Lytechinus pictus: one gene and its partner. The protein of the gene in region 1 binds, or shares a complex with, the protein of each later gene. Links are inferred from orthologs where the notes say so. Each region holds a gene or a part of one and is shown in the gene's direction. Other genes may lie near its edges.

What was found. Proteins that work in one complex are often made in the same cells at the same time.
Region 2: the proteins of condensin-2 complex subunit H2-like (region 1) and condensin-2 complex subunit G2-like are in contact, whole or in part, in a cryo-EM structure (PDB 9F5W), measured with the Homo sapiens proteins. The link is inferred for Lytechinus pictus from reciprocal best matches to the Homo sapiens genes NCAPH2 and NCAPG2. Residues at the interface, in NP_689512.2 of Homo sapiens: Pro316, Trp317, Gln318, Ser319, Leu320, Pro322, Phe323, Asp324, Ser325, Leu326, Glu327, Ser328, Lys329, Pro330, Phe331, Lys332, Lys333, Gly334, Arg335, Pro336, Tyr337, Ser338, Val339, Glu344, Gln360, Asp361, Phe362, Gln364, Trp365, Tyr366; in NP_001268861.1 of Homo sapiens: Lys248, Leu251, Gln252, His292, Ile294, His295, Leu296, Pro297, Arg299, Ser300, Val302, Lys340, Ala341, Arg342, Asn343, Ser344, Glu345, Val346, Pro388, Tyr389, Pro390, Arg393, Gly425, Glu426, Ala428, Phe429, Asp430, Thr431, Ser432, Arg437.

The regions. Positions count from the first base shown.
Region 1 is NC_087253.1:9,892,115-9,897,476, forward strand, and holds the start of condensin-2 complex subunit H2-like, read left to right. Parts: upstream 1-1,692; 5' UTR 1,693-1,725; coding exon 1,726-1,830; intron 1,831-4,890; coding exon 4,891-5,048; intron 5,049-5,362. UniProt on the Homo sapiens protein: Regulatory subunit of the condensin-2 complex, a complex that seems to provide chromosomes with an additional level of organization and rigidity and in establishing mitotic chromosome architecture.
Region 2 is NC_087247.1:41,091,583-41,095,182, reverse strand, and holds the start of condensin-2 complex subunit G2-like, read left to right. Parts: upstream 1-1,271; 5' UTR 1,272-1,367; intron 1,368-3,600. UniProt on the Homo sapiens protein: Regulatory subunit of the condensin-2 complex, a complex which establishes mitotic chromosome architecture and is involved in physical rigidity of the chromatid axis.

The DNA.
Region 1 (5,362 bases):
TCCGCCGAATGTTAGATCTATCATCTAATGTTACTGCTAATACGTTGTCTGTACGTACAGGCCTCCAAGCTCTTCAGTCTATGTATTGGTGAGTGGAGCCAACGCAGTTCAGCGGAACAACCAAAATACAGACACTGAAGCTTTTGGTCTACATTTTGATGTGCCAAGTCTGCGCAGTCCCTAGCATATGCTAGAGCCGGACTCTGATAATTTTTCATGGCAAGACTTCCATATGTCCCTTCTATTAAAATTGAAAAAAAAATATGGAGGTTTATCAAGAACTATCTAACATAGTTCTATATCTAAGAGATTTAGGAAGGAAAAGTTGGATACATACCAAAATATGGCTTTATTCCGTCAAAATCTTGAGTGTGTGTAATTCCTAATGGCATCGGTTTATTTAGTTAGAAAAATAAATACCCAATACTCTTGGAGAGTAGACTAGTCGTAATATCGGTTGATATTACAACTGGGCGTTTTGGCGTGCGCCTGTAATCCAAGCTGTGTGGGGAAGTTACAAATTGATGTAGAGGTTCGAGCCCTGGTCGCGTCTTTCGGATGGTGACGTTAAAGGTCGGTCCCAGATGTACATAGTCATATCTGATTGATACACGTCTAACAAAACTCAAATACACACACACACACGATATGATATCCAGTTTACTTTTGTTTTCTCTGTTGCAGCTTACTGTAGCAGAAGAAAATCAAATGTGCTGCAGAAACAGAATGCATGCAAAAAGAAATGAAACGAAAAAAAAGAAAAAAGGGGGAAAAACAATAGCAGGAAAAAAAAGGAGGGGGAGGAAAAAGAAAAGAAAAAAGAATTATCACTTTAAAAGGACAAAAATACAATATGTCTATATAAGAAGAAAAGAAAAAAATGCCGGAAAAAAAAGAAGCAAGAAAAGAAAAAAGAGAACAAAAGAAAAGAAACGAAAAAAAAAGAAAAAAGGAAAAAGAAAAAGAATTTAAAATAAGAAAAAATAAGAGGGAAAAAGAGAAAAAAAGAAGAAAAATAACAAGAAAAGAAAAGAAAAAAACAGAAGAAAAGAAAACAAGAAAAGAAAAGAAACGGGAAAAAAAATAAAAGAAGAGAAAAGAAAAGGAAGGGGGAAAAAAAAAGAGAGAGAAGAAAAAAAAAGGAATGGGAAAGGAAAAAAAAATAATAACAAGCTATTGAAAATGAACAAAAGCTGTGGCAAAAATAGTCAATCCTGACTGGTTGCCAACCAAGGAAAGAAGAAGATAACCATTATGAAACCCATGGCTTTCAGCAATTCCTGCTAGCTCGGTGAGTAAGGCGACAGACTGGAGATGCCTCGATATATGCAGCGAGAGGTTTTGATCCAAGTTCCAACTGGAAGTAAGAAGACAAAAAAAAAGAAAAAGAGAACAAAATGAGGGGGTTTTGGAGAAGTATTTTTTTTTTAATTAGTGGAGGGGACATATGGAAGTCTTTCCTTTTTCATATTTTTGTCATTGTCTTTTTAACTTTATCATGGAGACTTGACACAGCCTCACGTAGGCTGCGTGTCAAAGACGATAAACAAAGAGCCAAGACCATTTCGCTGAGGAAGTCTGCAGTTTTAGCAGCCAGAAATTTTGATTTAGACCTAGCTCTAATTCTTCAGATTTATTCTTTTTATTTGTCGAAAGCAATACCGGTAGTTCAACTTTTCCCTGCTATCTCTTGACATTTCTCTCTTTACAGGATTGCCTGTCGAGATGGAATCCGACGCGAGGTTTGCTCACCTTCTTCAACCCATTAGGGATCTAGCGAAGAACTGGGAGGTTGACATTGCATCACATCTAGAGGATTATGTTGCTGAGGTATGGCAAACTGGGATACAGGGGGCTGTTTCATAAAGCTGTTCGTATAAAGTTAAGAGCAACTTTAAGAACGACTGGTGATCCTTTCTTGTGGTAAGTGATATTCACCATCAAATGGTCATTGGTGATTATTCAGTATGTAAGAAAGGTTCACCAGTTCTTAAGGTCGCTCTTACGAACAACTTTATGAAACCCACCCAGTTTATATTTTTTTTGAAGGGGTATAGATTGTGGAGTACCGCATTGGTGACGTCACAAAAAAAAGTTGTTGCACTTCAGCATTTCTTATACCATTTCGGTAAGGTTCTAGGAAATTTGCTCCAGCGACAATCGCTCTGCTGTAATGCAAATATCACACAATAATGAAATGACCGACTTCCACCCTGGATTTAACACTATATCCTATCCTAAGCCTAACATAAAATGCTATTGCAACCCTCACCCTAATGCTATATCTTGGACGAAAGTAAGCCCCGAGCAATTGTCGCCGAAGCAAATGTCCTGTCACCTTTAATAGGTACATGTACATGTAAAACCCAAAATTGGTGCGAATCGGTCCATGGGTGCCCAAGATATGACCTCATTCACATTATTAGCCCAATTTAAATCAATGTATTATTTGTCTGGATTTGATTTGACTGAGGTAATATCTGTTGGCTTCCAGGATGGACAAATTCCCAACTAATGCAGATGTACTGACGTATATGTATTTCATCATGCTCTACAAAAATGTGCCTGTATTTCTGAAAGGCAGCTTGAGCTAAAGCCGTGGTAAAAAATGATAATAACAACGCGCCTCGGAATAGAATATTTCTAGATGGCGCTATATAAATGCATATTGTTTGTTTTTATTATGTTGATCATGAGTGATAATTTGCTCTATATTTCTTATGTTTACTTATGAAAAAAGATGTACATTCTCGATTTATATTCATACAGGGTGTTTCTAAAAAGGATAACCAAGGTTCAAAGGTCAACTACATGTATATCAAGACTACATTATATATTCTTGTGATTTATTTTTTACATGACTGAGTAACTCATCAACTTCCATTTGACACCTTGCTTTAATATTAAAGTCACAATTGTCGCCAGTCACAGAGTTATGGTCAATCGAAGACAAATTGTAAAAAGCCTACTTTTTCTGAATTTCGGGTTTTAATGTACGTGCACGAAACCCACTTTGTTGTAGGGTTTTGGTTTCATCAGAGGGATCCCTTCAAATTTTGGTGAAATGTTATTACTATTCTGATATTTTTTTCGAGGGAAAGTTAGATAACTGGTGTCTACATGTAGCTGCACTTTTGGTCGAACACATCCTTTGTGACTTGCAGGCACATGTTTAGCATGAGATAGATGTTCTTTGTTTTAATACAGTCCCGCAATGGTATTTGTATTTTATTTATTTAATCACGGTTAAAAAGCCTGCTTTCAGCTAGAAGCTGCTTTTCAGCAATGTCGTGGACAAATGATAACAAATAATATCAACATAAATAAACATACAAAAATAAGAACGAAAAACAAAATATATCAAAGCATGGGTAAAATACAATTGGTAAAAATAAAATTGGAGTAAAAAAAAAAGAAAAATAAATAGACGAAAATAACATACAAATTTATGTCAAAATTAAGCATTAAAAAATGAAGGTATATAATGCAGTATCAAGGGTGATCGGGGTGGAGAATTAAATTAAGAAAGTGATATGAGACGTGCAAATGTAGTCACGTTTTTTTCTAATCGGTTAGAAGAGCAATGCAAGACGGTCAACGTCGAAAGGGGAGCTATTATACATGTACTGTTGAAACGTTGGAATATGTTGGTGCAAAAGGTTTGGATGAATAACTGGTTCAACAGTATACAAATAGCGAATAGGCATGAGTGCGATGGTGCGAGATTTCGCATGAGGTGAATAGAGCGTTTCTTTCTTTCACCGAATGCGAAATCTCGCACCATTGCACGAATAAGAATATTCGCTATTTGTGTTGTACAACGCCTCAGAATTTAGCGAAAATATGAAAAAACAAAGAGTTTATCCCTATAGTAATCTATGAAAAGGGAGCAAAAATACCGAAAGCAGAAAGCAAAATCACACAAGCGCACATGACCTTGGGCAGCCTTGCGCATTTAGCCAGCTGGCTTATACGCGTATTGTTCATTTTTACCTAGCGCAATGAATTAAATCGTATTGTGACGTCACCTCCTAAAGCCGTGCAACGGTACATTTTGGACGGTACATTTTGGATGGTACGTCTTTTGTGCAACGGTACGAATGTTTGACATTCAGCCTCCCATTTGCTCGCGTACAACAAGCTAAGTAGGCGTTGTACAATGATTGCAGATAGGCAGTTGAAATGCCAATGCCAGTCACTCACAAAGGTGAACAGATGGGATAGCATTTCTCTATGAAGAGGGAAATTCTACGATGAAACCCAAACCCTACAACAAAGTTGGTTTTGTGCATGTACATTAAAACCCAAAACTTGGAAAAAGTAGGTTTTTTACCCTTCACCTTCGATGGACCATAACTCTGTGGCCGATGACAATTGGGACGTGAGCAAGGTGTCAAATAAAAGTTGATGAGTTACTTAATCATGTAAAAAAAAGAATAAATCATATAAACAGGGTAGTCTTGATGTAGAAAAAACAAAAAAAATCGATATTTTATTGTTCGAAATAGACATGAAATGAAATACTCTGAAAATTTGCTTTGCCCAATCATGGGCCCGGCAGCCGCTGTGCAGCGCCAGATCGATGAGGCTCTATTCCTTTTAATCGTTGAACGCCAAACAGGTGAGCAGCAACTCCCATCTTTTAACGTCTTCTGGTCTGACTCGGCCGGGGTTCGAACCCCTGACCTCCCGGATGTGAGACAGACGCTCTACCAACTGAGCCAACACACCGGTTGGCCCAAATAGTTGACCTTCGAACTTTGTTTACCTGTTTTTAGAAACTTCCTGTATTTATATGCAATGTCATTGTGATGTTTCTTTCATTTCTGTTTAATACAAATGAACTAGAGCACAAATTCAGATTTGAATCTTTTTGTGATTTTTGTTTAGATGGAGGTGATTGTAATCAGCTTCGATGGCGGTTCTACCACAATGAACTTTGCGGAGGCAGCGCTTCTAATTCAGGGTTCAGCCTGTATCTACAGCAAGAAAGTGGAATATCTCTATGCCCTGGTCTACCAAACCTTAGATCTGCTTGCTAGTAAAAAGTAAGTTAATTTGCAAGTTTCTACACCCTTCAATATTAAAATCTTACCGTGGCTACATGAATCTGGTCGACTTAAAGTGGGAGTTCGCCCTGAAGAAAAGTTTGTTGTAAAAATAGCAGAACAAAAATATATTTGTGAAGCCATGGTTTGAGGAAAATCCATTAAAGATTAAGAAAATAATTATAATTTTAAGTTTTGGATTTGCACATGTATGTCCAACAAGCATCCTCTCGAATCCCTGGAGTGTATAACTTTAAAGGAGAAATTCACCCTTGACAAACAGTTTATTGTAATAATAGCACAAAAAATAATAA
Region 2 (3,600 bases), on another chromosome or scaffold:
TGAAGGTCATGGGGGAGGGGTGATCCACCCTTTTTTATCCCCTGGCTGCTACATAGGTAAAACAAAATTGTTTAAAAAAACCCCCAGATTTTAGGGTATTTGAAATAAGCAGTCAGATATGCATTATATTTGATAAGATAATGTTTTGCTATGTAATATATGCAACCTCAAAGGTAATGCGTATTTTGAATAAAGTATACTATCAATCTAATCATTTTACATATTGATTTTGGTGTGTTCATACTTGTTTACATCCATCTAGGCATTGATCAAGAGAAAGAGGTCCTTGGATTTTTAAACAAAGTGTGTGAAAGAGGCACAGACTCACCTTCAATGAATAAAGTCATGAAAGTTTATATGTCTTTAAAGACAATTGTCACTTAGGAAAATGTTTTATGTGGTAGTGTTATTAGAGAATCAAAGGCCAAGTTGATTTCAATGAAAACTGAAAGTCGCAAAAGCATAACAATTGAAATTGACAGATGCAGTGGTACACCTGTACATCTTGAGCTGTACGCAGGCTCATGTTGTGTATGGTGTAGTGGTTTTTACTCCATCTCCTAATCAGCGAATCATGGGTTCAAATCCTACTCCAGGCTTTAAATTATATTGAATTGGGATTAAAACCAATCATATCATTTTGGAACAGATTTAAATATTTGTCATTTAAAGGATAAAATGCATAAAATTAATGAGTTTATTTATCAGAATATTACCCATTGTATACTTCAGAATCATGATCTGTGTGTGTGTGACTTTAATTCTCACTATTTTCTCCAGCTTTTAACTCTCCTCTTTCTCGACTGGCCGGGATGTTGTTTTCCCCTTCTAATTCATACAATTGATGACCTGTTATTACCAATTCAGTATTTTGGGGATATCAAGTTGGTCCATAGATCTAGAGATCTTTAACGAAGTTAGATGATATAGTCAAACGTGTCCAAGTGCCGGTATATGGGTTGTCCGGTGGGGTGACTGGACACTTCAAATTTTGAAGCCTTCTTTACTTTGGTACCATGTCAGAGTACTAGTACCGGTACTAGGTCCATGGCCACACAAAAAATAAAAATTCAATAAGTTGCAATCTTCTTCACTTTTGTTCTCTATAATATTGCTTAACTGTTCTCACTAAAAATTGATGGAATTTTTCCCGTTAACTTTCCCAAATGTCTGTTTAAAATCGATTGTCCGGACACACAACCTGTCCGAACACACAAAAACTGGGTACATCTTTAGTGATCTGATTATGGTCTGGATTAGTAGACTACTTCATATTCCGAAATCGGTAGTTTCCGGACAATTTCGGAAGAGCGCGCGGTTTTTCGAACTGTTTGTAATTCGCTTCACTGACTTGGTCTTGGTTGGAGGTAAGCTTCAATTTTCCTTTAAAAAAAAGAAGAAATTACTTTGTAACGGATTTGTGTGTTTAAAGTATGTTTTCTGTTTTCTTCGATGCTTTTCCTTGGACAAAAATGTTATCGTAATCAAGGCAGAGTCTGAGTGAGATCGATCGAGAGTTGTGTTTCTTCTCCCAAAGTTGTTATTTCGGTCCCATCCGTTAGATGCCGTGTTGTGTATTTTTGTTTAAACAAGTGCACGACATCCGTGTTGTAAAACTTCAAAGTCAACCGCATTCTTGGTGGGGGGGGGGGGGGGCGCTCACACTAGTACGAGGTTAGTATGCTATACTAACCTCGTACACCGAACCGTGTTTGGCCCTGGATTTCTATTCTAGTCGGCAAACATCGCTTCATGTTCATTACACTTTTTTACAAAATACAGAAAAAATATTTGCCGAAACTCCTCGCTACTCACCGCGGAGTCACCGGTGAGTAGCCATACAAATGTTACAATCGCTCCTTTTTCTTTTTTTTTTAAATAAAAATCATACAAAGAAGAGCAAATTTGCTTACCTTGGTCTGGAAAGTGACTTCGCATGTCTCTTCTAGTCTACGGAAATAAAACTTATTTCCGTAGACTAGAATTAAGTAGAAGAGACATGCAAAGTCACTTTCCAGACCGAGGTAAGCAAATTTGCTCTTGCCGCCTCTTCTTTGTATGATTTTTATTTAAGGAAGCCCGATGACGGATGGTGGCATTAATAAATTTCACAGCCTTGATTCAGCTCCTCTGTAATTTTGATAACTGTGTCTGAATAGTAAATTCTTTGAATGCGCAAATCTTATTACTTGATTAGATATGGGCACCAATAAATGAAATACCTTCAAAAACATAATTCAAGATTATTATTGCCGATGATTACACTTTTTTGCAAATAATTTAAGGCCAAGTAAAAAAAGAAAGTAGTTGATCGTCCGGGTTTTTCGAGAGCAGTGATGAGGGATGTCCTTACTATTTGCTATCTTACTATTTTTTTAAAAACAAGGAGACATTTTTTCGGCCTGTTTTTTTTACATTGGTGATGAGGGAGGTCCTTACTATTTACTATTTTTTTTTGCTATTTTTTAATCAAATGATTGTCATGCCATGTCAGGCTTGATTTAGGTGATCGACGCATGCTTGAATATTAATAATGAATTATTAGAAACATATATATGCATTTTCCGTATCATATAAATAAATATATATTCAATTAATTGGAAATCTATGGAAAATATATGATGCAATAAAACTTCATTGATGTATTACTGATGTACTGTATTGTTGTAAAACAAAATGTTCATGTCAAGTGAATGATTTAAACATTATTCTACATTATAAGGGTAAAAAATACTTGGGGGAGGGGGCATTTAGAAAAAACTTTTATTAAAGCCATTTTTATTACCATGGAGACATGTTTACTTTTCTAGTTAATATCTTTTTTTTCCAGGGCATGGTTTCGCATCGCAGCTTATCCTGCTTGTATATTTATGTTTAATATTGTTTATTCAATTGCTATTCATTTTCTTTATTAATATCAATTGCTAAAGGATTTTTTTTTCCAGGGCATGGTTTCGCATCGCAGCTTGTCCTGCTTGTATATTAATGTTTAATATTGTTTATTCAATTGCTATTGCCTATTCATTTTCTTTATTAATATCAATTGTTAAAGGAGAATGAAACGCTTGGAGCAAGTTAGCTTTTGTGAAAGCAGAAAAATCAAAGAATAAGATCAACAAAAGTTTGATTAAAATAGGACTAGCAATAGAAGAGTTATGAGCATTTGAATGTCGAGATCACTAATGCTATGGAGATCTTCCCATTGGCAATGCGACCAAGATCTATGATGTCACAGATGAACAACTCTCCCCTTTTGGACACAGAAAATATACCCCAAAACATTTCTTTTTGCTCATTCTAATCATATGACAAACGATTCATAAATGATATAATGTTGTGAAACCTCTGTACTTGTCCTCTCATAAAGAGAACACCTCACCTTGTGATAGACTCTATAAAAGTGAGAATATAAGTGAATTAAGTACTAAAGTAATGAGGGAGTTGTACGTGTGTGACATAACAGATCTTGGTCGCATTGCCAATGGGAGGATCTACATGGCATTAGTGATCTCAATATTCAAATGCTCATAACTTATTATTCATTCAATCTTCCTCAAACTTTCAACAATATGTTTCTTTGATTTTTCTCTTTGATATGGA